Linked DNA regions of Mytilus edulis. The protein of the gene in region 1 purifies or fractionates together with the protein of each later gene. This does not show direct contact. Links are inferred from orthologs where the notes say so. Each region holds a gene or a part of one and is shown on either strand. Other genes may lie near its edges.

Evidence for each region.
Region 2: the proteins of small ribosomal subunit protein RACK1 (region 1) and vigilin-like purify together in Homo sapiens (affinity purification with mass spectrometry; 3 studies listed by BioGRID and IntAct, with this or other methods). This does not show direct contact. The link is inferred for Mytilus edulis from reciprocal best matches to the Homo sapiens genes RACK1 and HDLBP.
Region 3: the proteins of small ribosomal subunit protein RACK1 (region 1) and la-related protein 4-like purify together in Homo sapiens (affinity purification with mass spectrometry; 3 studies listed by BioGRID and IntAct, counting the BioPlex papers as one, with this or other methods). This does not show direct contact. The link is inferred for Mytilus edulis from reciprocal best matches to the Homo sapiens genes RACK1 and LARP4.
Region 4: the proteins of small ribosomal subunit protein RACK1 (region 1) and serine/threonine-protein kinase RIO3-like purify together in Homo sapiens (affinity purification with mass spectrometry; 3 studies listed by BioGRID and IntAct, counting the BioPlex papers as one, with this or other methods). This does not show direct contact. The link is inferred for Mytilus edulis from reciprocal best matches to the Homo sapiens genes RACK1 and RIOK3.

Annotation. Positions count from the first base shown.
Region 1 is NC_092352.1:55,731,916-55,739,896, reverse strand, and holds the start of small ribosomal subunit protein RACK1, read left to right. Parts: upstream 1-4,976; 5' UTR 4,977-5,095; coding exon 5,096-5,204; intron 5,205-7,981. Other genes in the region: serine/threonine-protein phosphatase 2A catalytic subunit beta isoform, read right to left, coding at 73-234, 820-909, 1,607-1,780, 2,463-2,672, 4,514-4,624. UniProt on the Homo sapiens protein: Scaffolding protein involved in the recruitment, assembly and/or regulation of a variety of signaling molecules. Interacts with a wide variety of proteins and plays a role in many cellular processes.
Region 2 is NC_092356.1:71,817,799-71,825,269, reverse strand, and holds the start of vigilin-like, read left to right. Parts: upstream 1-4,448; 5' UTR 4,449-4,529; intron 4,530-4,613; 5' UTR 4,614-4,688; intron 4,689-6,611; 5' UTR 6,612-6,666; coding exon 6,667-6,870; intron 6,871-7,285; coding exon 7,286-7,385; intron 7,386-7,471. UniProt on the Homo sapiens protein: Appears to play a role in cell sterol metabolism. It may function to protect cells from over-accumulation of cholesterol.
Region 3 is NC_092357.1:54,891,924-54,899,750, forward strand, and holds the start of la-related protein 4-like, read left to right. Parts: upstream 1-4,805; 5' UTR 4,806-4,943; coding exon 4,944-4,958; intron 4,959-7,827. UniProt on the Homo sapiens protein: RNA binding protein that binds to the poly-A tract of mRNA molecules. Associates with the 40S ribosomal subunit and with polysomes. Plays a role in the regulation of mRNA translation.
Region 4 is NC_092355.1:39,763,117-39,770,088, forward strand, and holds the start of serine/threonine-protein kinase RIO3-like, read right to left. Parts: upstream 3,013-6,972; 5' UTR 2,795-3,012; coding exon 2,553-2,794; intron 2,077-2,552; coding exon 1,916-2,076; intron 1,501-1,915; coding exon 1,396-1,500; intron 567-1,395; coding exon 454-566; intron 1-453. Other genes in the region: peptidyl-prolyl cis-trans isomerase FKBP7-like, read left to right, coding at 5,577-5,590, 6,715-6,878.

The DNA.
Region 1 (7,981 bases):
AGGAAGGCAATTGTGTGTTTTATTTCACTGGAAAATCAAGGTAAATATTCTTTCATTATCTATTCTACTTACCTCCATGACAAGCTGATGTGCTCTGGATACCAGAGTTAAATTGTTACTATGATTAAATGTCTCCGATATATCATGACCAAATGTGTAACCAGCACCTCGAGGAGATATACCCCAGCCTCCTCTATCATCTGGATCTGACCATAGCAAATCACACATGGGACCCTATAAATACATTGGAAAAATGTCATATTGTTATTACAAATCTTTAAAACCTAACCCCTACATGATGTTAAGTAGCTATGTACAGTGAATTTTGCCTGTAAAAAATCCTCTTATAAGTATTAATTAGTTCAATAATTATAATCTGATACAAGAGTTTCAGAGTAGACTGGTTTCCTGTTTATCATGGTTTACAAGAGTCCACTTATCAAAGACATTTTCTGTGTAAAATGTATTTTTGAAATTTGTTGAGATCTTTAAGCTAATGGGTTCAGCAATGGGAAAAATACTGGAATGATGGTCCTATTCAGAAGGAGTATTTCTAATTAGAAAGAACATTGGCTTTTAAATTGGATTCCATGGTACATGTATACTGTAAACAAGCCATTATTTTTTTTTACATTATCAGACATACAATGAATTTTAATACAAGACTTGGAGGAATGTATTTTATATTCTTAATAAGGAATTGCCAATCTAATTACATATTAATCTAGTTACATTGGACATGGCACTTTATATTCTAATCAATCTGTGATATGGCAAAATAAAATAAGATACAAGTTTAAATGTATCAAGCATGCTTACCTCGTGTGGAACTTCTTGTAATCTATCTAATGCTCGTATATGATCTAATGTGTCTATTGAAGGTGATAACCCACCATGTAAACAGAATATCTGAAAGATAAAAGTATTCAGTATTATCTTCTTGTCAATAGGTACTTATTTCAAAGTATTTTTTCCATTTTCCATCCTTTTTTTAAGAACTGTCAAATTGAACTATTAAAAATTATAGATTCACTAACAAAGTCAAATTCCTACTAATCAATTTTCCAACAAAACATATCTGAACTCGATTCTGTATCTGCATCACCTACTTGCATATCTATTCTGCATCACCTACATGCATATCTATTGTTTAAACATAATGACCTCTGGATGTCTTGTTTTGTAACCATTGGGTTGCTGTCTTATTCATGTCTACTCCCATATTCTTTTTATTCATATGATAATTGATCTACTGTTGCAATGAATCTCATTTAATACAAAAATATGTTTTTCAAACAATTGAAACTTTTCCGCAATCACATACACTTTGCCATTTTACAGAATTATTGTAGACTGTACTGTAAATTCAGAAATCATTCCAATGTTTTTATTTTTGCCAAAAATGTGACAGGGACCTGGGTTATAATGTCAATAATTTTAACTTGCATTCTTAATTTTTTTATAGGAATTACACAGAATTGCTCAATATCACAAAAATGTAAATCACATTTTGGTCTAAAATAACAAAATCGCAATACTTTCTGAATTTACAGTACATGTATACTACATGTATTTCTACACAAGAAGTGGAAGGCTCTAAACTTACTTGTCCATCTACTAAAGCTGTAAGTGGTAAATAGTCAAATAAATCTGTGAAATATTTCCATACTGTAGCGTTACCATACTTTCTCAAGCACTCATCGTAAAAGCCATATACTTGTGTAATTTGTCTACTTTCATGATTTCCTCTTAGAATTGTAATTCTGTCTTTCCATCGAACCTTTAACAAAATCATATCTCATGTTTAAAAAAAATGAGGCAAAAATATGTGTTAGTTGTGTAGTTTGAATACTTTCTTTACTCTTTATATTCAAATTACTACTTCTTGACTTAAATCATAGAAACTTGATAAATGTGAACCTGTCACTTTATTTAATTTCTACAATTAACTATACCATGTATACTGGCTATCAGTAAGGATTAATTGGATAATTTTTAGTGAAAGTCTCATAAATTGCAAAGCACATGGAGTAGACATTGCTTTTTAAATCATAGAGGATGCAAGTTTTATGAATGAAAGATAATCAAATAAATATTTTCCAACTGTTCATTTTGAATCAAGCTGCACTTTTTAATTGTTGCTTTTAACATTAGCCAAAATGTAGTTTTGTTTAGGCCACAATTAAAAATATTTTGGTTTGCCCAAACCCTACCCAAAGGTTGAGACAGTGGGTAGGTAGGTAGGCATTTTCTTTTTTTTTTTCAAAAAGAGAAATTGAAGTATCGGGTGTTTATTAGTCTTTATGCCTATCTGATAAAAAAAAAAACTTCTTCAAATTAGGACAATAAAAGAATTTGAGTAGGCAACTTTTTTCTGGGTAGGTAGCGTTTGGGCAAACAAATCTATTCTTTTTTATGGCCTTAACAAAGACAAAATGTGTAAATAAATGTACTATACATACTTTCAAAGCTACTAAAAGTGTTACTGTTTCTACTGAGTAATATCCTCTGTCTACATAGTCTCCCATGAACAAGTAGTTAGTGTCTGGTGATTTTCCACCAATTCTGAACAATTCCATCAAGTCATGGAACTGGCCATGGACATCCCCGCACACAGTAACTGGACATTTAACTTCCTGAACATTTGATTCCTTGGACAATATTTCTTTAGCCTGAAAAAAATTAATTGTTTATTAGTATTAAATAAATTAAAGAGTGCCTCAAAATGCATTTTTATTTAAAATTCACATTATAAGCCTCATTTGTTTCAGGTTAAAGAAGTCCCAGCATTTAATATAAATGCATGTCAATAGCCAGAAAATAAGAACTGAACAGTGAATATCATAATCAAACAATTAATCATACATTAGGAGAATAAATACAAGTCCTACAAAACTGAGGTGTTGTATATACATGATATAGCTCATCAGTTCAATTATAAGACCAAACAAAATAAAATAGTGTATGTATATTAACTGTCACCTGCTTAAAACAGGGACTTATGCAAGAGATCAAATTACAATTAACTACATGTATTATATATTTTCTGTTAGCTGCCATTTGCTGAAGTTGTTTCTGATATATGTTTTAACATGGTTTTACACAACATTTATTGATGATTTTTGGTTGCAAACAAGAATGTGTCCAAAGTACACGAATGCCCCACTCGCATTATCATTTTCTATGTTCAATGGACCGTGAAATCGGGTAAAAAATCTAATTTGGCCTTAGAAGTAAATTGATCAACCAAAAGGGAACATGTGTACTAAGTTTCAAGTTGATTGGACTTTAATTTCATTGAAAACTACCTTGACCAAAAACTTTAACCTGAAACTCACACTTTTAATTTCTATGTTCAGTGGACCATGAAAATGGAGTCAAAAGATTAATTTTTTTTTTTTAAATAAGAAAGATCATATCATAAGGAACATGTGTACAAAGTTTCAAGTTGATTACACTTTAGCTTCTTCAAAAACTACCTTGACCAAAAACTTTAACCTGAAATGGGACAGACGGACGAACAGACGGAAGGACGCACAGACCAGAAAAAATAATGCCCCTCTACTATCGTAGGTGGGGCATAAAAAAGAACATATATAGCTGTCAAGAATAATACTTCTGAAAATATTTTCATTACTACATCTTCTTTACTATTCATGCTATTTGGCATAATTTCCAAGCTTAAAAGTTATCCAAAGCTAGAATGAACATTTTCTGTGTGTGACAACACACAACTGAACACTACCTTATAAGAAGAGTTAATAAGCCTGATCAGTGCTACATAAATGCTCCATCAACTTTTATCTTTGAAGCCTGCAGCAGGATTATGTTTTCAGATGTCAACAACCTAGAACATCCTTCGCTGCCCTTTTGACATATCTTTAAATGAAATTCTTGTGCGTTTGATTTAAAAACTGAAAACTTAGATTTTAAATTGGGGAAAGGAGGTTAGTGTTTGTGTTTAAGTTTCTTTAATCAAATACACTGCTTGAGGTATTTACAATTAGTTACATCTATAATACCAATGATTCATTCTCAAAGCTGGGGATAAAACATGTAAAAATATCCTTGAATTTCATTTAATGTGATGAACACAACATTTTAGTTCAATTGGTCCATCTTACTGTAACTTGTGTAAGTCAAATAGTGTATTTAACAAGACTTGAGGTATACTTCTTGTGCTACCAGAGTTATCAATAAATGGTTTGTGGCATGTTGACTAAAACACATTCAGGATGCTGGATTGAAACCTTTGAAAACCTTTTAACTGTGCTAGGCTGTTTTATGAAATGTGATTAGATACGATATCAGTACACCTGAGCAAAGAAAACTTTGGTTGCCATATACAATTTTACGAAAAATTGGTTTCGTAAAAATGTGTTGCCATGCGAGTTTGATGCAACAGTTATACAGTCATTTATAGGCCGACACATGCTTTATGCAGTTATGACATTAAAGTCACTATGTCTGTAAGTATTTTTAAAGGGAAAACAGTTGATGAAAGTGTATATACCTTTTCACACAATGTTTTGACTTGATTTTCGGTCAGTTGTTTGCAATCATAAAGTTGTTCAATCCATGTATCGAGTTCTTTTGCTGTTGCATGATCGTCAACGTAACTCATTTTGAAAAGATATGTTTACATGTATTAAACTTGACAAATGTATACAAAAATGCGTTATTTATCTCTTATTTGGTGTTATTTTCAAGTCTCAGCACATCGAGGCGCCGACAAAATGGCTGTGTCTTCCTTCTCGAGTGACGTCACTTTCATAAATAATTGTTAACGAATGAAAATTTTTATTTATATAAGATAAATAAAAATGACGAATTACTAAATTAAGAACTAATCGTGATGTTAATCATTATTTATCTTAAATGATTCAAAATTTTAATGCAAATATAAACTGGATTCTGAGTCACTCTGCTGGTGTCCTTATTCCGTTTGGTGACATCTATCGGAATTTTTCTAAACCAAGCGAGTTAACTACAGACTTCCTTTTCCGGTTTGCCCGTCTTAGTTCATGGCGAACTAAATAAGTTATATCGAATCTGCGCCAATCATAGTTGAATTTTCATTAAAAACAAGAAAACGATGGCGGAGCAAATGACGCTTAGAGGGACCCTCCAAGGGCATGGAGGATGGGTGACACAGATTGCCACAACTCCCCAATATCCTGATATGGTGTTGTCATCTTCTCGGGGTAAAATATTCTGAATAGATCTCATTTTTTGTATAACCTGCATGTTTTGCACATATTATCAATGTATTCGATCTTCAAGACGATGCACATACTCTATCTTTTTATTGCAACGTTGTCTTTTTTGTCATACTGTGTAAATTTGTTTACATGTACATTTTTCATCTTCAATGTTGAAATGCCGGTAGACCTATTGGCAGAAGATCGAATTAAAAGCCGCAGTTTGGAGAGAATATCATTTCTGATTGCAATCTGCATTTAAGTAAAGTTCGTAGGCGCTTTTTCTCAAGTGGAACATTCGAAAATACAGGGACTGAGCATGAACATGTACAGTCATGACAGTATGGTATATTCATCAATGGGCTGATGGATCATAGTATAATGTAGATGTACAATTGTTCCCTAGAACGGAATCTGTGACATATGATCAATTCATACAGAACATGTAAATATACCAGCTGTCTGCACCAAAATCGTTATTTATCACTAGTTCAAGAATATTAGAAAAAAATGTATGTGTCGTAACAATGTTTTGCAAACATGTACTACTCTGGTGCAAATATAGTCCTAATAATTGTGACGTCTTGAAATTTTATTTATTGAAGACATGTTTTTTGGTAAGACTGTGTGATGGAATTTCTCTCAAACTTTAGACCCAAGTTAACAATAAAACGCTTCTACAGTGGTGTCTGCATGGCCAGTGATACTGTGCATTATCTGATTTCGTCATATCAACAAAGTAACACAAATAAAATCGTTCTTGTTATTGTTTTAGCCTTCAGAAGGGATTAAAAAAAAAATTATAAGTTCAAGAGGTTAATAACTGCAAACCCGTGATTTACAATATTTGACTAATTTCCATTAAAAAAAATTACATCATCAGATAAAATTTGTTTTATTTAAGTCAAAATTTTATTAGTTTGAAATAATTTTTGCTCTGCATCCTTGGAAGTGTGTTTGGTTCAAATTCAGCTATATTTTGGAGTAGAAAGTCTTTCCTTTATTCAAAATAACATATTTTTGGAAGGCATGTGCGAAATCCCCAGACATTGGAGGAAATCTCAGAACAGGGGTTTCCCTAATTTTGGACACGCATTACACAAAATCTTGGGTGAAACCATACAAACAGAAGATTTTATAAAATAAAAGTATGTTATGAATGTGTTCACCCAATATTATCCATTTATTGGTTTTATCAGTTGAATGAAATGAAGTCATAAGTCTTAGGTGCATGGATACACCGGACTGCGCCGTAAGCTAATTTCCCTATGTATATAATTAGAAGAGTACTATAAAATATTTATTTGCACCAAACTCAGAATAATATATGACGCACAATCTTTTCGGGATGTTTGATTTATATTTAAATTCATGTCCATCAAAATTTAGAGTTTGGAAAACAAATATATTATTTTATACTCCTAAAATGAATTTCAAAGTGTCTATATAGAAGAAATCAGTAAAACGTTTTTAAAAGTCTTACTAAAAAAAATAAGTTGGGCATATATGACATCCCATGCCAGAAAGGCTACAAAGCAAAAAATAAAATATATTTCAAGACATCATAATTATTTTGACTAATGGTGAAGACTGCACTACAGGTATAAAGTGTCAATATAAACAATTTTGTAATAAAAAGGAAAAGTATTGAAATTAGTTTATAATTAATTAGGTCAGTATGTCTGATTATTTTTTATGCCCCACCTACGATAGTAGAGGGGCATTATGTTTTCTGATCTGTGCGTCCGTTCGTCTGTCTGTTCGTTCGTTCGTCCGTCTGTCCCGCTTCAGGTTAAAGTTTTTGGTCAAGGTAGTTTTTGATGAAGTTGAAGTCCAATCAACTTGAAACTTAGTATACATGTGCCCTATGATATGATCTTTCTAATTTAAATGCCCAATTATAGTTTTGGCCCCAATTTTACGGTTCACTGAACATAGAAAATGATAGTGCAAATTTCAGGTTAAAGTTTTTGGTCAAGGTAGTTTTTGATGAAGTTGAAGTCCAATCGTTAAAGTTTTTGGTCAAGGTAGTTTTTGATGAAGTTGAAGTCCAATAGTTGAAGTCCAATCAACTTGAAACTTAGTATACATGTGCCCTATGATATGATCTTTCTAATTTAAATGCCAAATTATAGTTTTGACCCCAATTTTATGGTTCACTGAACATAGAAAATGATAGTGCAAATTTCAGGTTAAAGTTTTTGGTCAAGGTAGTTTTTGATAAAGTAGAAGTCCACAATCAACTTGAAACTTAGTATACATGTTCCCTTTGATTAGATCATTCTAATTTTAATGCCAAATTAGAGAATTTATTCCAATTTCACGGTCCACTAAGGCCAAAAAAAAAAGATATGTGTTTCCGGTAACATCATTTTAAAAAATAGGGTAGGTAGGTCGGAATTCTTTTTTTTTTTCTTTTTTTTTTTTTTTTTGACATCGTAAATGAAATCCGGAAAATTATCATGTTTTTTTCCAAGTTCGGATCCGTAATTAGTTTCAAAAACCGGAAGTGTGCCATTTGCAATGTTTTTGAAGCACCTGCTGTGCAAATTTCTTGGATTTTAACCTATTTGGAATACCTTTTGACATTAATAAAATGTTTTACTGGCTTTCTATGACTGGCTTTCTATGCAAGAGGAAGCAAGAGAGAAAAAATATTATGTCATCTATCAGAAGCCTGTGTCAAAAACAGGGTCGGTTGATAAATTTTTTTTTTTTTTTTTGGAAGATCCAATAAAAAAGTTAGGGTCGGGGCTAAAAAACAGGGTCGGTCGGGTTAC
Region 2 (7,471 bases), on another chromosome or scaffold:
TTTTGGAGAAAAAAAATACCGCTGTACACCCAACCTTCCCGCTTTAAATGATTTCAATTTAGCATTAAAATCATTAGGAAAAATCGTTAACCGGTTGGATGAGTCTTCTCGTACTTCCACTGTTCAATAGATCGATATTTTTCTTTAAAATAATGAAAATTTAGGCTAAGAAATAAAAAAAAAAAGTTCTGGTTTTACGATTGTTAAAAGTATCCTGAATGGTCGAAGTCGAACACTTGATGGGACAACCCGCTCTATTTGACCGGAAGCTTTTATAGGCATGAATACAAATTCTGAATTAGTCCCGACTTGGTACAGGCATTTTTTTAAACCTGGTTTTATAGCTAGCTAAACCTCTTACTTGGATGACAGTCGCAGAAAAATTCATTATATTGACAATAAAGTGTGAACAAAACACACATACATATTATGTTAAAATGTCAAAATAGGCGTACAGTCAACATCGTGCTTCTATATATATATCTTAATCACTTTAAAAACATGAGACAACTATAACACACACCTGAAGGGTCGAATCCAACCATTTAACAGGCGGTACCAACCCATGATGAAGGGGGGTTCCAACCATATGTCCCCATTCAAATGTATTGATCGTCCAAAAAAAAGGGTTCCAACCCCAGGAACACCCCCCCCCCCCCTTTTGTATCCAAAACTGCACATGTGTTATAGAAGTCTCGGATAAAAGTAAAGAATTTTTCAATATGAAAAAAACAAAATGGCATATAGACAATGCACATAAGCAAAAATGAAAGACACAAAAATGACCACAGCACAACACGTATTGGCGGGATGCATTAGTACGAGTCACACCAATAGGACATATCAGCACACATATATATAGTAAACAATTAAGGTTAATAATTTTCAAAGGCAAATAAAAAAAAACACCTATAACATATAATGTAGATGATAAACAACTTCAGTATACCTAGAATCTATACTCAAATTTATTCGTCCATTGTGTGTTTATTTGTGTCCGTGACTTCGTTTTTTTGATTGAGTTAAGGCATTCCATTGATATTTTTTAGTGTGTCTTTCTATATTGTGATGTTATACTACTGTTTCAGAAAAGGGAGAAGGTTTGGTACCATTTAAACGTTTAATCCCGCTGCAATGTTTTGCACCTGCATGTCATAAGTCAGGAATCTGATGTTCAGTGGTTGTCGTCTTTTTATGTGGTTCATAAGTGTTTCTCGTTTCTCGTTTATATATATATAGAAAAGACCGTTGGTTTTCCCGTTTGAATGGTTTTACACTAGTAATTTTTTGGGGCCCTTTATACCTTGCTGTTCGGCGTGAGCCTAGACTCCGTGTTGAAGACCGTACCTTGACCTCTAATGGTTTACTTTTATAAATTGTGACTTTGATGGAGAGTTGTCCCATTGGCACTCATACTACTGATCTTCCTATATCTATATCAAAGACCATCATGTAAAGTTGATGTATACGAACTGTTCATAATTACTATAGGTCTTGGTTTAATATTCCTATTAAGTTTTTTAGAACTAGGACGTCTCGTGCGACTTTTTTGACATAACCCTGGCACATTAACTTTCTACTCAGACACTGGTAGTCTACGTAGCATTGCAAGCTCTTGAATAATGAGTGAGATGGGAAATGTATATTCCATATGCATGTGAAGTTGGTATATTATTATGAGTGAGATGGGAAATGTATATTCCATATGCATGTGAAGTTGGTATATTATTATGAGTGAGATGGGAAATGTATATTCCATATGCATGTGAAGTTGGTATATTATTATGAGTGAGATGGGAAATGTATATTCCATATGCATGTGAAGTTGGTATATTATTATGAGTGAGATTGGAAATGTATATTCCATATGCATGTGAAGTTGGTATATTATTACGAGTGAGATGGGAAATGTATATTCCATATGCATGTGAAGTTGGTATATTATTATGAGTGAGATGGAAATGTATATTCCATATGCATGTGAAGTTGGTATATTATTATGAGTGAGATGGGAAATGTATATTCCTTATGCATGTGAAGTTGGTATATTATTATGAGTGAGATGGGAAATGTATATTCCTTATGCATGTGAAGTTGGTATATTATCACCAAGGTAGAGAAAACTGATAATTCAAATCTGAAATTGTCATAGATTCTGGTACTAAGATGACCGCTTATGTCAAATTTAATGTATAAAAATAGATATAGGAAGATGTGGTGTGAGTGCCAATGAGACAACTCTCCATACAAATAACAATTTAAAAAGTAAACCATTATAGGTTAAAGTACGGCCTTCAACACGGAGCTTTGGCTCACACCGAACAACAAGCTATAAAGGGCCCCAAAATTACTAGTGTAAAACCATTCAAACGGGAAAACCAACGGTCCAATCTATATAAACAAAACGAGAAACGAGAAACACGTATATATTACATAAACAAACGACAACTACTGTACATCAGATTCCTGACTTAGGACAGGTGCAAACATTTGCAGCGGGATTAAACGTTTTAATGGATCCAAACCTTCTCCCTTTTTCTGAAACAATAGCATAACATCACAACAAAGAAAAACATACGATAAAATATCAATTGGCAGACTTAACTCAATCAAAAAACGTATGATTAAACAATGAACGAATAAATTTGATCTGTGATATCTGAATACAAATGCACAGTTAATTAAATATTAGAGACAAACATTCATGACCAAAAAGCTAACAAACAAATTCAAACGCAGGACATGACTGCGAAATATTTAACCAATCAATGTTAACTTTAGAAAAAAACCGCCGGTTAGTCTAAAAGTGAAGCGAAGTCGTGTCTGTTAATTGTTTCTCATATACTCTTTAAAATTGAGTAATACATGCTTGTGTAAGAAATAAGCAATAATAGCAAGCAAATCTAAACAGTAAAAAGCTCGTTCATCGCACTATATATACATGCTAAACATATTGAGTCACTATACTATACAGCGCTCGAACAATCTTAGTTTTGACTTTATTCCCGATGTATTTTCTCGCCTAGCATGAACACACAGTGATAATTGTTTCGATCTAGTATAGATAGATATCGATACCGTTTCAATGTATCCATTCAAATAACAAACCCCGGGGCAATACTCTATATTCATGCTGTAGAGAAATGATAAATGCGTTTTTAAATCGCAAATTTGTCGTTTTTTGAGTGAGAACGGACACATATCTACACATTTGCATAATAAAATTTATATGTCTTTGGTATGAATAATGAAACATATTTTATATAATTATGAACCAAATTCGATAAAACATTGGTCAACAATGGAAAATCTACTGTTTGGAGCAAGCATGTTATTATCATGGTTGTATACACATCAATTAATAAAAGTATAAACTGATTTCTCGGATTGGCCTAAAAATAGGGACCTTTTTGAGATTGAAATAAAAACTGTCTTCTCTTATGTTAGCTTAACTTATAAAAAAATCAATAAACAAAATATGGAACCAAAAAATAGCCGGAAAGTAATGAAAAGAGAATAAACGACAAAAATAATAATAAAGAGCACATAAAACCATGAGATTAATTGAAAATCCTCCTGGGCCAAGAAACCCAAATGAGAGGGGTTAGGAGGGGTCCTGATCCCGAAATCCCGGACTTAAAAAAACGAATTCCCGAGGTCCCGAATTTAAATAAAGTAAATCCCGATGTCCCGAAATCCGAAAAAAACGATTCCCGGATCCCGAAAGGGTCAATCCCGAAATCCCGAGATTAAAAACACCCGATAAAGGTCCTATCCCCCCTCCCAAATGAACCCGCATCATATTCCAGGCCCTCTTTATTGTTCAAGTTTGCCTTTTATTTTTTCTATTTTGGCCCGATCATCATGATCGTATTTCCTATTCTTTTTTGTTGTTTATATTCTTATCTATTTTATTTTTTAATTTTTATTTATTTTTTTTTTGGGGGGGGGTCTCTTTTGTCTTTGTCACTGAAGGTTCGTCTTTTATAGATCGTTATAAAATTCGGTTTATATTTACTTTTCAGTCAAAAGATAATCCATCACCTTTGGACATTATAATCATGTGTGATATTATCTTCTGATATTTTTCATCTTTATGGAAATTTGGGATCTTCAATGCGGCGCCCCTCCTTTTTGAGCCTTATTTACAACTTACTGGCAACCCCTTGGAGCCCAGTGTTAATTATGTGACCTTTTGACGTCAAGAAAAGCGTCACAGGTTTGCCACGTGACATTGAAATAATAGATAATATCATAGTTTATTGCGATTTGGATTTCAAGAAAAGATTGTATGATGTTTGCATGTGCATTTTGGCTTATAATGTTGAACAATTGTTTAAGCTAAGAAAAAAATTTGTTCCAAAATAGTGCGTATTCGCCTACACATGTTATGTGGTGTTACAATGGTTCTTTTTTTCAACTTTAACCCGGAGATGACCAATCAGAATATTGCTTACTCAAAACAATCAATCGCGCAATGATATCAAGGTGCACGAACTACACAGTGTAGTTAGTTCCTTTTGGAGGTGGTGAGTGTTAGTCCATATTTGTCAAATTTCTGTCAAATTTATCATTTGTTTATCAAAATATACACAACATTAAATCTTTTGTAGACTTTCAGCTTCCACATTGGAGCCTAAAAAGAAGAAAAAACCAATTTAGGACGGATTTTTGGACGCAGTACTTAAGTAAGTTAGTAAATAATGGCCAGACCCCCGACACGTCAACATGTTCCTTCGGACCTGTCGACGTGGCTGCCTAATTTTTGACATTTTGTCTGTTTTCCTTGATAAAATTTGTTTAATTTACATAATTCTGAATGCCTGATGTATGCTTATTGTAGTAATGTGCAATATTGCACGCTGACATAATTTATGCACATTTGACCTGTTGTGTACTATTTACTCACCCTTGCCTTGCCCTCAACAGACATATTCCATCGTTGACAGAATTGTTGTTTGTTTAGCAAATTCTTTGATAATACGGTAATACTTATTATCCCTTACCATCAGTTTTCAATTACAAATACCAGCAAGTGGATAGTTATTTACATGTTAATGTCTAAATATAGAGGCTCATATTTGTTCATTTACCCTGTAAATGATTCATAACACTCAAAGACTCATAAATTTGTACTGTAAAATCAGAAATTATTGTGTGCATTTATTGTTGTAATTTTAGACTAGAATGCAATTTTAATTTTTGCGGTATTGAGAAAAGTCCTGTTTAATTCCTATAGGCTATAAAACATTTCAAAATGTAAATTTTTCTTTTGACAACTACAAATGCACAAATGGATCAGCTGACAGAAATGTAATGATCCCTATCACTTTAACAGACGTTAAGTTGTATCTCATTTCAAAAATTGTAAATGGCTTGTTTCATTTTATTAATTTAAGCTGTTTAATTTACATATCTTTTTAGAGTAATAAACAATGTCATTTTTCTTTCAATTTTTTTTGAGAAATTGTATTTTTTTCCTTTTTGATTTACAAACACATTTCTTTAATCATTGTTGATATTGAAAGATATTAAGTTGGCAGTTTCTCACAAGTGAAAAAAAATATAATTTCTAACTTCATTTACATACATGTTTAAATGAGTGATAAACTGAGACAACTGTTACATTGTTCTGTTTCTGTTTGTATGTATAGTGAACGACAAATATATGTGACGTTTAAAAAGTTTCTGACGTCAGACACGCGAATCAATGAATGCGTTTGTAGATAGATGTTTTTGTGTTCTGTTGAATTGTTCCTTTTAAAAGTTGCTACACGATGATGACTGCTGTACCCATATTTTGACTATTTTATTTATAATGTCTGCTTAGTTCACACATCCATGTAAATATAATGGAATTTGATGAGACTGTCATCAAAGTGAGAGGGTTAGCGCTATAAAACCAGGTTTAATCCACCATTTTCTACATTTGAATATGCCTGTACCAAGTCAGGAATATGACAGTTCTTGTCCATTTGTTTTTGATGTGTTTTGTTATTTGATTTTGCCATGTGATAATGGACTTTCCAATTACATTGTAGATTTTCCTCTAAGTTCAGTATTTTTGTGATTTTACTTTTTGGTTGCATTTTTGAGTGTAATGAAAAATTTGAACAACATAAAAAAAAAATGTATTTGGTCTTCATATTTAAAAAAATAAATAAATACATTGTACAATAGGGTCACTAGAAAACAAGCGCTTCCTTTATTTAGTGTTTCCTGCAGCTTTTAAAAAGGGCAGGGTAATTGTTAGCTCAGAGGGCACATTAAGCGCGATGGACAACAATTTAAGGGCACTTACTTAATATAAACAGGCAATTTCTATAAAATGGATTCATTTAAAACATACTAGTTTAATGCTATAAAAAGGACATATACATCTGTAATCAATCATTAAAACAAATTAATAAATAAATAATATTAAATCTTGCCACTTCTTCCTATCATTTAAAAAAACCCAGAAGATAGAAACTTCTCCCTATGATTCTGAAGAAGTGTGAAACCTGGTTTAAGCTATGACTTCATCAGTTATCATTTCAAAATGTTGGTTTTTCGTTAAATTATATGTGCAGTGCAAAAAAAAAAGTATCTTTTATATATCAATCTTTTAGGCATTCAGCTAGTACTGTTCGACTTGGAACTCCCATTTGACAAACGAGTTTGAATATGGCTACAAATATGGAGGTTCCACATATTGAAGAAGTGGCATATGTGCCCAATGCACCAACAAGTCCACCAACATACAGTGACGCCTTCCCAGAGTTGCCAGTGCCAGCACCCAGACCAGCTACTGATGCGCCAGTGACAGAACCTACTAGACCTTGGCCAGCCAATAACAAATTTCTCATGAGATCATCTACATGCACACAAGTATGTGTTGGTTATGATTCATTAATACAAATTAAGTTATTGTGTAGTAAAATACATTTTAAATGACATTCCTAAGAATCAATCATTTAATGTCTACAATACAACCATTTCATAGTCTGCTGTCACCTAGTAACATGCTCACAAGCTCGTTCCCTTGCAAGGTTCAATATGGTTTTTTAATTAATTGTTTACACTTGTGCTCCCAATTGGTTTTCATTTTACATTTTGCGAGATATTGTTTTAAAATCTTTGGAAAAGTGTTGGTCAGATGAATCAAATGTCAAACTGTCCTTTGTCAATTTTCTGACATCTTGGTTACAATAATCAACATTCACAAAACATTAAAGTTTTAAATTAAGATCCATTTCTGATTATCATTTGCAAGTTAATATATATTATGTAAATTTCATTGTAGGTTTTTGCTGTGCCTGTAGAAGAGAGAAGGTTTAATGATCACAGTTTTGGTGATGAAACAAAGCAAGCAGAAACATGCAAAGAAATAATGGCTAGAAACAGTAAGCTTTTTATCATGCTTATATTTGTTGTTGTTTAGTATTTATATTTTTATAATCCTGGCCTCTGCTAACAATTGTGTTTTGTG
Region 3 (7,827 bases), on another chromosome or scaffold:
TATCAGTGTGAAAGCCCTTTAAATGAAGTCAAACAAGAAAAGAAGGCTACAGTAATATGCCGCTGTTCAAAAGTCATAAATCGGTTGAGTGAAAACAAATTTGGGTTGCAAACTTAAACCGATGGTAACACATCAACTATATAAGAGGAAACAAAGGAACAACAATTACCCTGCAGTGCAACAAAAACAAACGCCAACATATATAAAAACGAACTATTTAATAACAACTGCCATATTCCTGACTTAATTGGTACGGGACATTTTAAGAAAAATAAACCTAGCCAAACAGAAAGTATAACGAATATAGAAACAATTTGGAGATGGGTTATGGTTGCCAAGAAAACAACTGCCCATCACACACCTAACTATGTAGAAATAGGCATCTATATGTCACCATATTTAGTTAGTTGGTCGAGTAGTCTTGGGCGCGGGACATATAGTGTCACAGAAGCGTGGGTTCAAATCTTGCTGAAGGGAGATTCATTTTCGCAAATCTTTAGTGATCATTAGTTTTCTGTGTAAATTGTATTTTTTCCCATTTCGTTTGTCCTTTCGTCTTTCGCCAGTATATAGTCTCTAACTTTACTTGTGGTTTTCAAATTGACGTCTTGGTATAGCTTTTGGAATTAAGTTAATTGGGGCATAATTGTTAAAAAAAAAAAAAAAAAAACATTACACAGTGAGTAAGCAGGGGCGAATCCATGATAAAGGGGAGGTTCCAACCATATATATATCCCCATTCAAATGCATTGATCGTCCCTGGAACCCCCCCTTTTGAATTCGCCACTGGCAATTGAAATAAAAATAGTCCTACTAGTACAGTATTCCCATCAGATATAAGTGAGTAACTATATCAAATCAAATACTAGTAGGATAATCTTTCTAATTTTGATAAAATGTTCCAACATAAGTTTTTTTACATTTATTTGTCTTGACGCTTTATTGAGTGTAACAAAAAATGAGTATAAATTTTAGGTGATAATCAGTCAGGGGCGTAGCTACCCGGAGGCACGACAGCACGTGCATCCACGTCATTTTCACAAAAAGAAAGAAAAAAAAAGCAGAAGAGAGATTAGTTGGTCAATCGGAATCGGAGACTGTTGGTGTCTTTTCCGTCTATCCCGGATATTAGTTTGACAACCTAGTTACAAGTGTTGATGAAGCTGTTCATTCAGAAAAAGATCGTAGCTCCGAAGTTGCGTGCACATTGATTCGGCATGCAAAAAAAAGAAATGGCAAAATAAAAATTTATAAATTGAATGTTAAAGGAAACACCTATGTTGTCACTTTTTTTAATTGATGAAATATCATTAAATAACGACATTTGGTTTCAAAATAAATTTTTTTGGAGATTATGACAAAATCGGAAGGTTACTTGTATCTTTTACAAGATTTTTACTTTTGAATTTGTAATACTCAGTCTTAGATTTGTAGTTTTGGAGCACATTTTACAGTGTACAGTTCATCAGTTTGGAATGAGATGTACCAATCGGCATTAGAATTATCAGATCCCTTCGATATCGTTGAAAATATGCCGAGGCGATGTGGTTGACAGACTACCGGAGCCAATCACCCTGCAACCACGCCAAAACAGTATTGGAAAGTCTCATTATTTTTTGCGTTCATAGAACATATGATAAGGCAACTGGAGAGTGGAGTCGCGTTAAGTTATCAGAAAATCGCTTCTTTGTGCTGTATCTGCTTCATCGTGTTGTAGGAAATATCACAAACGAACAAATCTCAATATTGTCTGAAACATACGAAACTGACCTAGCATGTAATTTTGACGAATTCAATTGGGAGGTCGCTCGATGCCGAACACGTACGCTGGTTTATAACATCTCGCGAGTGCTACCATGCCATGATGGCCCTGAGAACTATCAGTCACGGTGCTACGTATGTAATTGAAAACAAATGTACGATCAACAATGAACAACGAAAGTTACATAGCATTACTGCATATTCACGGGATTTCAGTGTGAATGTTGACAAAGTAATAGAGAAGTTTGTTTCTGCCCAGACCCGAAGAGCAGATTTTGGACAATTTTGAGTAAATTCTGTATCACAAATATGTGTTGTTTATGTATTACTATATTCAGAAGATTTATTAATAGTTTTACATTCATAAATTTTTAACCGAAAAAAAAAATAATTTCTGCATAGGGTCCCAAAATTTTTTCTTGGTAGTTGCTTCCACATCGTTTCTTTCTAGCTACGCCCCTGTCAGTCGTCACACAGCGAAGTGTGATTTCATTTCCACACTCAATTTCATTCCATCAAAATATAATTTAAAGTTCTCATTATGCTTTTTCTCCAATGGCCTAAGAGAAGTAAGTTCACAAAGGTTTAACATTGTTTTTTAGTAAGGCTAAACTACTACACATGCATCTCACATAGACATAGTTGTGACAGATATTATTACTATTTAAACAAGAACTTCTTTTTAGCACTTCACAAGTTAATGACGATGTAATCACTCCTTAAAATTCCAATTATTTGTATTGTAACGTCAGTTTTTGTCAAATTTAAATAATTCTTAAGTTTTTAGCATAATCAACTTTGACCACCACATAAGATCCAGAAATTTTAGGTGTCTAGGGAATCAATATCACTATTCGGACAACCGTTTGGCTACAGAACATTTTGGTTCCTACATATATGCTGTGGTCGATGGTTTCTTCCGGATTCAAGCTCCGAATACTCGCACAATCATCGTAATTTGACAAAATATTCAAAATCAATGTGGTGATTTTGAAGCCTACAATACATTCTTATAGAGAGCGTTGTTCAATATAAAAAAAGAAGATGTGGTATGATTGCCAATGAGACAACTGTCCACAAGAGACCAAAATGACACAGACATTAACAACTATAGGTCACCGTACGGCCTTGAACAATGAGCAAAGCCCATACCGCATAGTCAGCCATAAAAGGCCCCGATAAGACAATGTAAAACAATTCAAACGAGACTGAAACTAACGGCCTAATTTATATAAAAAAATGAACCCTGTATTAATGCTTTTGAATTATATCCCGACCAAAAGAACCAAATCATGACCATTTGATATTTTATGATAAAAGTTGAATTTTAAGACCGTAATTGACCTAAAGTGAACGATCTCCTTTCTGAGAATGCTTACACATGAGTCCGACGTTCTTAAAACTAATATCTAACTTATAGGATCTGAACTTTCAGCCTTCTCCCAATTTCATAAATTATCTATATCATACACAAATAAGAAGATTTGTAATTCCAAATCCCCAAAGATGTTCTTTAAAATACCAAGAATGGTACCCATATTTGATGTAAGGGTACCGCGCTCCTCGTGCATCCGAGTCATAATTAGATGTCCATATTTCGACCAAAGTTTTATCAATAAATTTACATTTTTTATATAAGGATCGAGCGCGCACCTGTTATCATTGTCAGTGGACAGGGCGAATGCACCCAAAAATACCGTTTTTAACTAGCGGAGTGAATAAAAAGTTATAAATACAAGAAACATTATATATTCATTTCTGGGACGGATCAAGTCATTTTAAAAATTTGTACAAGACTTTGTCGTTTACATTCGCAATATTAAGGTCTAAAGAGAGATAACTCGATTATGTTTCCTTCTTAATGGCAATCCATAAAAGGAACAGGGAATGAAATGATTTAGAGGCAACCAAAGGTAACCGATTAGGATTAGATTACCGAAATTAAAAGAATACACATTTATCACCTTGCAAAGAATTTATAAATCCGAAGAGACAAACAGAATTGATAATTTGCTATCTTTGTAATCAAAATTCATATTGTAACAATATTTCTTCGAAAATTTCATGTTTTTCGGACCAGAAAAATGTTTAAAATAAATTATAGAAAATTTGTCTCGGATACGACTAATGTATTTTCACAAATAAAATTTATAAAAAATTTACCAATTAAATTCTAAAATATATTTCATCATTGCATATATTTATCATTTAATATTAAGTGTAGTTTAATTACAAAGTAAACCCGTCCATGGCCTCCTTACTGCACTGCGTCATGATAGAACCGCCCCTCTCCCGCCAAATCAAAAATAACTTGGACGATCACCAAGTTCTTATTGAGCATCTTGTTTATCCTTGTTGATCCACTGTACCAATTTTAAAATTAAATGTAGAATAATTTTATCTCAAAATGTCTATTTTCAATTAATAAATAAAAAAAATCAACACGTCCCACATCGCGGTTGCCATGTTGGATATATGCGGCCCATGTGACTACTGTGGCGATAGATCGTTCTGCAACCTTGTGAAGATCTTGCCGTATTTCGCCCCAAGACTCCCTAAACCCTTAGGTTTTCGTGTAGTCACCCAATACGGCTTGTAGATTAAAGGGAATACATTTGTGTAATTTCAAATTTAAACTGGAGGGTTAAGGGACAACAGTAAGTTTCAATATTTTTAAGCGTGATAGGCCAGTATGTGTATAAGACGCCATGTCTTTTGAGGTAATACACCTCGTGTCACGTGTGTATTTACTTCACTGATATTTTACTAAACTTTGCACAAATAATTGTTATTAATACGATGTAGAGTATTCACTACATTCGAAGCACATAACCTGCACATGTCGATAATTTTGGTTAAATGATTAACGAGGAAATGAACGGGTTTTGACCCGCCTGTATCGAGGTCATCTTTCGCAATTTCATTCGATTTTGTTTTCGTGTTGGTGTGTAAGTGAGCAGTTGTCACTTCTCAAAGACAATTCCTAGTGGTAACTGCTTTGAACTTTGACCTGGGATTTTGACACTGAGTTGTTTTATTGATGAAAATACACGAAACATCCGCAAGCATGCTTTTCATATGGAAAGCGGAAATTCGTATGTCGTCAGACAAAATGGCGGCCTCCATGGAAATTTAGAATTTTGATACATTTTAACGTATTTTTGGACAATATATTTCGCAAAATGGTTGTTGTTCAGGTAAATTTCACATATTGATGTTAAAGCTTCCAATGCAAATACACATTTATGACCAAAACAATATCATCTAATTAATTATGCATTTAGATCACCAAGCTTTGAGGATATCAAAACAAACCGTAAACAGACAAAGTTTTCTGTCAATTTTGTAAATCATATCATTAATTGGACATTGATAATCATTATACAGTTATATTTTGTGATTAAATTAACTCTGAAAACATCTGGAAGTAATAAAATAGGGGTTGGAAAGATGTTGCAGTAAATGATATAAGGGGCCTTCAAATTCCTAGAAGCACTGTACTATTATATATTAATTTCTATTTCCTTTTTGTGAATTAATTACACTGGTAAAACCTATGTAAATTGGTGAATTTTACATCATTAAACAATTATTCAAAAGCAGAGATGGAATTAGGGTGGATAGGGTGCCTATGCCCCTTTTGTTATTGAGCTGCTAATATGAAATGGATCATACATACATTTTTGTAGACAATCCTGGATCAACATGTATGTACCGATTATCAGGTTGTCTGCATGTTGATATTGAAAAAATATCAGATGTGAGTCAGATTATGAAGCTTTTTGTCTAGTGAGTTCAGTGAACAAGATCAAAAAGCCCTTCGTATTGTGTCGAACAGCTGATATTTTACAATATTCATATGCAGCACCTGATAATTAGCTGTTTTTGCATCTTTTGAAGGGTATCTAAGTTTCATTAGCAACCACATGATGACTAGATAAGTTTTGGGTCAAACAAAAAGGGAAGTGATGAATCAAAAATCGTTAATGTTGGCAAATAACTTATTTAAAAAAAAATGTTGATGTTTTTATAGATATGTCTGAAGTGACTATCAATGCATTTGGTTAACATTTTGTGATTCTTTGGTGTTTTGGTGTTTTATGCCCGCACCATAGCAGAGGAGACATTAAGTCTGTCTGTACGTCTGTCCGTACGTCCCAAAATTGATTTCAATTCTCCAACTTAATTTTTGCCATAACCAAATAATATGAAACTTGTACACAATGCTAATTACCACAAAACACAGATCAAATTGGAATTTTGGTAGTGTCACTTTTACCACTCTGGAGTAATGCCACTTTACAAATGGAAAACTTTAGTTTGCCTCAAATTAGTGTTATGAAACATACACAAATTGCTTATTTCCACTAAACTCAGATTACATGTAAGTGCAAATTTGGTTAGCGCCACTTTAACAGATTTTGAGTTATGTTCCTTTATAACATTATATGCAACAGGGGGCATTATCTGTGTCCCACAGACACATTCCCAATTTATTAAAGCTATAGCTAATGGATGTATTTGGTGTCTCAGATGTTTATACTTTTTTTGTACTTTCACCTTATGGAGAAAAAAAATCCAAATTATTTGATTGCAAGCACTACATTCATTGACATTGAAAGTTATAAATATTTTATTTTGAAATGCACACTTGAGAAGTTTTTTATAGTGTATTTATAACACAAGTGTACACTTGTCCTTTGATATCAGCAGCTTATTGATACTTTGGCCTTTAACTTTTTGATGAAAATTTTTGTTGTTGATCCTTTTTGGCATTTTGACCCTTGATACAAAGCTCTAAACCTTAACCTTCATAAATTAGAATTGCTTTTATTTTCAAGAAATGGAATAGTGGAGAGAGCGAACTTTCAGGCAATGTGCAGAAGTATTTTCAAATATATATATAAGAAGATGTGGTATGATTATCAATGAGACAACTCTCCACCAGAGACCAAATGATGTTCATGTAGCACTGATAGGTCTTACAGCTTTCTTCAACATAAGAAGGGTCAGCCTGACCCGTTAGCCTCTAGTCCAATGCCCATGACTAGTAACATTTTATTTTCAAGACTTTGTTTAGACTGTAGACACACAAGGAAAATATCTAAATATTTGTCTTTAGACTAGTGGTTGGAAAAGATTTTGATACAGACTGAAGGGTTAAAGAAAGCATTTGTTTGAGTATGTTTAAGTAAAAAGCACATGTAATCTATATTGTGAACAGTTAATTCAACAACTTGGCTAAAAAGATACCCCTCATGACTTTGTAACAGTCTTTATAAAATAAGAAGCACAATTGCAAAGATCAGTTGAATCACAAGAAAAATTAAGGGTCAAATTTTCTTAGAAATATACACGGCCAAAAAAAACCCACTCACAATGGGCCAGGGTTTTTGGGGAAAGACGGCTTCAAGCCGTCAATCCCCTATGGGGTTGACCAGAGTGACATTCCCTCACATCATTCATTTTGTTTTTATAGTATGGGAAACCCCCCAACAAATCTTTCTTAGATTGAAGAGAAGGAGACCCAGAAATGAATAGTTTGACTTTAAACACTTTTTTACACATTTCCCTTCTGTTTCTCACGAAATTATCGTATCTTGAGCTCTCCTTTACACTATTTACGTTTCTTTTTACAATCCGGAAAAATCAGTATGACGAATTATTCTAAATATATCCAACCTACATTGTATTTTATAGTGACGTCATTCTTGGAATGCCACTCTACGCAGAAGCAGGGATATCCTTCACTGGTTATTTAAATCATTCTCAGAGATCGTGCACTAACTACAAATTGGTATTTGTTAAATTTAAACATAATAATGTCTGCTGTTGATGATTCAAACATCAACATGCAATCCTTTAATTTGAAGGTGAACAACTTTCAAAGTAAACAAAGATCGTGGGGTTACATGAGATAGGGGAGAGAAACGATTTTATTAATTTTTTCTGTAAAAATTCTGTTTTGAGAATCTTCCTCCAATTCAGGAGCACCTCAATTGATGAGTAATTATCCACTTAAATAAAAGTTAATGTATTTAAAACACTTAAAATGCGACATTTCAT
Region 4 (6,972 bases), on another chromosome or scaffold:
AGGGGGGTGGGGAGTCAGTGAAAAAAACTATGTGAATTTAGTTTTTTATCCTACATTGAACTTTTGATGTGGTCCCTAAAGTAATCATTAAACACTTTTTTCTCAACACTTAGACCAAAGATTATTGTATCATTATTCTAGTTCATGTATTGAAGTAAATACCCCTTCCAACAATGAATATCAATAATTTTAATCCCAACATACCAGTTTATATTAAAATACCAGGGGAGCTAAATATAAACCATTGGTGTGACATGGACATACATGAATCAGCAAATCAATATAAAGACAACTGCTTTGTAAAATGGGCAAATTATCAGATGAAAAAATAAATCATTCTTTTAATGTATTTAAGGTTTTGATTTTGCCATATGATCAGGGACTTTCTGTTTTGAATTTTCCTTGAAGTTCAGTATTTTTGTTATTTAAAAAAAAGAAAATATTGAAACTTACATCCATTAGTTTAGAAGCATTTTTTCGTCCACATATAACTTTATCGTGTTTTGTTATGATTTTATTTCCACTGCCAACTGTTCCATTCTTTTTAAATGATGGCGATTTCTTATCTGAAAAATACATAAAATTGAGAATGGAAATGGGGAATGTGTCAAAGAGACAACGACCCGATCATAGAAAAAACAACAGCAGAAGGTCACCAACAGGTCTTCAATGTAACTAGAAATTCCCGCACCTAGAGGCGTCCTTGCATGGTTAAAAAAATAATAGTTGTGAACTGGAAACAAATAAAATAGTTCTTGGGATGATATTGTCCAAAAAATATTATCCTAGGTATCATACTCCATAATCATTTATTAATTCCACTTATAAATGTTATATTTTATTTGTAATATGTTAACATGTATGTGTGAATTAAGAAAAGTTAGAGCTTATAATTACCACTTTCACATTTCCTTGAAATATGTTTTTGACCAAGTAATTGTTGATCAAGATTGATATTTAATTTTCTGGGGGCAAATATTTTCCAGGAAAATCACAAGTTAATGCCACATGAAAACATTCTGCCTTTTATTTGACTGATAGGCCAAGTCAAATTTCAAGCTACTTTTCAAACAGCTTCTGTTAAGTTTGAAATAAGTAACCTTCCATATTCAGATCCTGGTTGGAACACTGAATAAACAGCTCATTGATGTGTAACCATGGTAACAGTATCTGACTATGAGAAGTATTTTGTTTTGAAGCAGCATAATATGTCCAACAGAACTTAACCAAATTTTAGTACAATACATTGTACCATTTAGAATATTGCACTATTGGAAACATATGTTTCAAGCAAATTTTCTAGCTTTTCCTACTTTAGCTGGCCTGTTTAGCTTGTTTTGAATAAATGAGAAAGTCAATCTTAAATCATGGTGGAGTCATCTCCCATTGGCATACCCCATTGTGATTTTGGTGGTTCGTAATCATCATCCTCTTCTTCTTTATCTTCATCATCTCTGTATGCTGGATGTACACTTCTGTAGTTCTCAAATGAGATAGAAACTAAAAATAGAAGATTAAATATGATTTCAGTTAAATTATCTAAGCAGAATTAATAACAAATTATAGGATTTTAAAACAAACATTTGGTCTCTGGTTGAGTAGATTGTTGAGAGTTGTCTTAATGGCCATGTAGGCAATCATACAGTTCATACCACATCTTCTTATTTTTATATAACAAAATAAATCAAAAGCATTGAATATATATTTGAACATCTTTATTAAAAGACTAAGAACTATCGCAGTATGTATGCTTTGTCAGGACTACGAAAAAGTATATTTTCTGCTAAAATATGAGAAAAAATGATTCAGTGAAAAACTCACTCTTGCTATAAAGTTTAGTGATTCAAGGGGATTGAAAGTAATTGAAGGAGAAAGGACTCAAAGGCTAAATGATGAATACATGTAGTTTTCAAACCTTTATGATGTTTATTCAAGAGTTTTTCCTTTGCTACCAATTCCTCATCATTCTGTTTATCGTATTCCAACTGTAACATCCTAGCCATAAGTTCATCGTCAGCAGTTTCATCAGCACCAGCGGCAGCAATTAATGCATCAACATCAACTTCATTTTTCTCACTGAAATTAAAATGATAAGAAATGCAGCTACATGGAATTAAAAATAGACGTCAAGAGTTCAACATACATGCAAAGATTCCATAACTACAATTTAAATATATACATAATATTCTACTGAACACTTTTTTTTCTAATCATGCTTGGGGTATTGAAATTTTATTATTTACTTTATGTCATGAAAGTGGTTCACATTTTTTAAAACAATCATTTAATTAACTGTTAAACATATAATAGTTGTTTCAACTTGAAAATTGTATGGGTTTTTGATATTTTTATTTTACATCCTCATTTGATCATCCGTAGTTGTCCATCTTTGAAAGGCCAAGGGGTAATGGTAAAAAATCAAAAATACCCTTCTAGATGTCATTCATGTACAAAATGATGTAGTTATTCAAAAATAATTAATTTTTAGATAATAAGCAATGATAAGACTTGAAATAGATTAACACCCCCCTTTTTTTAACTTTAGTATATACCTTTCAAAAGTGTCCAACACATTTTTCTGTTCTTTTTCGATAAAATCTTCACTCAACTGTTCATTCATTACATCTTGCAGGCAGCTTGGTATTGGAGTTGATTGCTGCGGAGGTTTGCCCCAGGGTGATGGTTTTGGTACACTGTCAATTTTCGTCTGGTTCATCAAGGCTGCCTGTTCTTCCATGGTCTTGTGAATGGTATTGCTATGTCTGCAACTGAAAACACTAACAGGTCCTTCCATGAAGTTTTTATTTTTTGTATAAGCTATTTCTATATTAGACGAAATGATTATTTGTGTAACTTCCAATGACTGAATGAGTCTGAGATTCTTTCCTTTGTACTGTTGTATTTCCAGTATGTTTTATCGGTTTAACTGGTGTTGCAACACTGCACGTCTGAGCTAGATCTTATATGTTTTAGCTGTTTATTAATAGCAAAATTAAACAACTAATTTATAAATAGATAAATTTCTATATGTTGTGAAATACTTACATAAAATTTCCTTCTTTTTGTTTTTAATTGGTTATTCCCCTTTACGAACTTCCGTTTTGAAACCATAGGTGCGTTTGGATATCCAACTATAATATTTTATGGCAGTAGTTATTTGACCGGCTGCGGGGAAAAAATAATGGCTCCGACAAAATAGCGATTTTTTGTAAGAGTTTTAGAAGTCTCTGAAAATAAGTCTTATTATAAATAAAATTCTGCAAAGAGTAAATATAAAAAGTGATATCTCTATTTCTAATATATAGGCCTACCACTTTGCCGTGTTTAGTATGACTAGAAATTTTCACTTCTGTTTCTCGTACTATAAACAACATCATTATTTATATAGTTAAATATATGTCCGTTCTCTATTTCACATGATACTGTATACCTTACAACAAAACTTTTTTTCTTTTACCTAGGTACATTATTCTATTTGGCGGGAAGCAATTCGGTTATTTGTTCAAGGTTCACTTTCTGATATTAATTATTATCTCACAGTGGTATACTACTGTTGTCTGTATTTATTCACCCTTATTTTATTGATATGGTATTAACATTGTGTCGTAGATCAAATTTATTTGTTCAGTGTATTTTTTTGGATTAGAGCGTCACTGATGAGTCTTTTGTAGACGAAACGCGCGTATGGCGTATATACAAAATTTAGTCCTGGTATCTTTGATGAGTTTATTTTCAGACTGTAGTGGGGAATTTAATAGTAAAGAGTTTGGGCATCTAAAGATTATAATATAAGACATATTACAACAAGCCCATATCATCCCAAAAGCATGCAATGGTTAAGTTGAAAACTTTAATGGGACTCTTAAAACAATCATAAATAAATTGTTTGACAAAGAACCTGAGAAATGGGATTTATTCATAAATGAAGCATTATTTGCCTACAGAGTTGGTATTCATGACAGCACTAAAGTGAGCCCCTTTGAAGCAATGTATGCGAGAAAGCCCATCTTAATAAATGAAAAGAGAATACGGCATACTGTTCAGCCGAATGAAATACAAAATTACATATAAATGTGGCTATAGTGAGAGATAGGGCGGATATCAGTTATCACTGCCCCTAAAAAAGGAATATTGTAAGCATCTGCATAAATATCAACATAAAAAGGATGGTGTGGTATGATTGCCAATACAACAACTATTTAAATGACGTGGATGATTGGAACTATAGACCCCCGTACGACCTTCAACAATGACCAAGCTTCACAACGTATAGTCATCTATGTAAGGCTTTATCATGACGCAATGTGCAAAATTCTAACGAGAAAATTAACGACTGGATTTATATGACATAATAAGTAACGAAAGAAACATAATGTATATATGACAGACAACAACCCACGACAAACGTTGACTCACAGTTTCCTGACTATATAGATTTTGGCGGGTTTAGATAGCCGTGTTTTCAAAATAATAAAAGTGTTTGATTATCGAAGAGACTACTGCTCCATCAACGACTTATGGTCTAATAAAGTTAAATTTGGATATAACACGTCTTTTGATTGTTTGAAAGTTTCAAAATTGTATATCAGCTCATAAACATAGTTTTGGCATGTGACCGTTACGCCATTAACTTTTACCACGGTTTACTCTTTAAAAATCGAAATACATTTAGATTATAAGGAATGGAAGTACTTCCCCCTGTCCATTCGAAATAATCTAATAGATTCTATAATAAAAATAGACTAGCGTGCACACTTTTAAATATAAAGCAACTTGGGTTATTTAGTATACACTAAATTTTTCACGTTATTTCTTCATTGACAAAAACATTTTTACATTACATGCTATTCCTTAATTACAATAGAAATTATAGGATCTCAAAGGAAAACAGTCGGACTTTCATTCCAAAAATTATTCCATTCGGATTAGAGAACTTCGGTGAATCAGGAAGAATGTTACAGGTACCTATGTTTAAGGTTTAATAAATACCAACATTAAACAGCGTATATCTTAAAAATTTTCTACCCTGGGCAAGTTGTATTACATGACCAATCTATATGTATAGTTTATTTACTAGATATTACCGGTCGTTGATTTATTATGATAGAAGTGTTTACGTATGATTTTAAACTATGAGATCCGATATCACATAGAATATTTTTTAGATTTTGTTTATAAAACGTACAAATTTGATATATTTTTTAATTTAAGAAAAAATAGACTTTGAGTATTATTATCAGTATGTATTTATCAACATTGAAATTCAATTAAATTTAAGTAAGAGACGAACATTGCAATACCATACCCACATAGTACCCCTTTCTACAGATTTAAGAAATACACACTAACGTGTAAATCAAAACTAAATTATGGGGAAAGTTTGCATTCATATTTTGATAATTTTAATATGTTTGGTAAATGAACTCAAATGCGAATTTAACGCAACCAAAGCTGGAACAGACATAGAACCAGCTGTTATAATTGAAACGGTAACCAGAGCGCCGTTTTGTGACAAAAATCTTCTTTATAATGACACTGGAATCTTCGATATCGATGTTTTTTACCATACTGAGGATATGTTTGTAAAAAGGTTAGTGTGTTATTTCTTTGAATAGATCTTTAGTCTTAATTCTAACAATTGAATTAAAGAATTGTAGTTTCGACGAAGTCTCATCAACACGCAGTTGTTTTCCTGTAGACTGAACTATATGTACGTGAAATTTAGACTCCAAATTAAGTTTGGGACAATCCTTGACTATCGCGGGAACAGCAATTAGAAATGATCTCTGACTATCGCAGGAAGCAACATTCAGAAATGATCCTTGACTATCGCGGAAACAGCAATCAGTTATTCTTTACTATCGAATAAACAGAAATCATTGACTATCGCAGGCACAGCAATCATCATTCCTTTGACTATCACGGGAACAGCAATCATTAATCATTGACTATCAATGGAACAGCAATCAGCAATCATTGACTATCACAGACACAGCAATCAGCAATACTTTACTATCACTCGAACAGCAATACTTAACTACCACGGAAACATCAATCAGCAATCCTTGACTATCACGGGAACATCAATCAGCAGTCATTGACTATCGCGGGAACAGCAATCAGCAATCATTTAGCGGGAAATTTAATGTTGGTGTTTTGATAAAATACAACATTGTGCTCTCTATTCACACTATTTATCATTGTTTAGATATTAACTTTTAATGAAGGTCATAACAGTATTATTATACTAAGTTTAATACAATTAAGGTACATGTGTTATGTTCTTACATGATGGCATAGAGAGGGTCCTTCATTTCTGTTTTTTCATATTTTAATTTTGTGTAGGTCATTTTTCACTATTATTTATATCTACCCCCCCCCCCCCCCCATAATTCTCTATTCTTTTTTTTTATTCTTTTTATTTGTGGTCTATTTTTCTCTATTCTTTATTTGTTTTACTCTTTATGACCTAAAAGAGGGGCGAAAGATACCAGAGGAACAGTCAAACTCATAGATCGAAAATAAACTGACAACGCCATTGCTAAAAACATGAAAAAAGAAAAAGACAAATAGACACAAAATAGTACACAAGACACGACATAGAAAACTAAAGACTAAGCAAAACGATCCGACCCAAAATACTGGGGGTGATCGGTGCTCCGGAAGATTAAATTAGTGACACAATACATTATCGAATGTGACTTTCTATTCTAGTCAAGCAGGTAAAGAAAAGGATCCAAGGACTATTCGTCTAGGTAAAAATCAAATACTCAAAGCATTAGAGAACGCTATGATTGGGATGTGCCCTGGAGAGTACCGGAAAATAACTGTACCCGCTAACCACGCCTTCGGCAATAAAGTGATTCAGATTCCCGATGGTCAGTAAATTATAAAAGGATTATTTTTCTTCTTCTATATATACATGTAATTGATTACCTTGGCGATTAAGGGAAAGTCAACCTTTTAACTTCA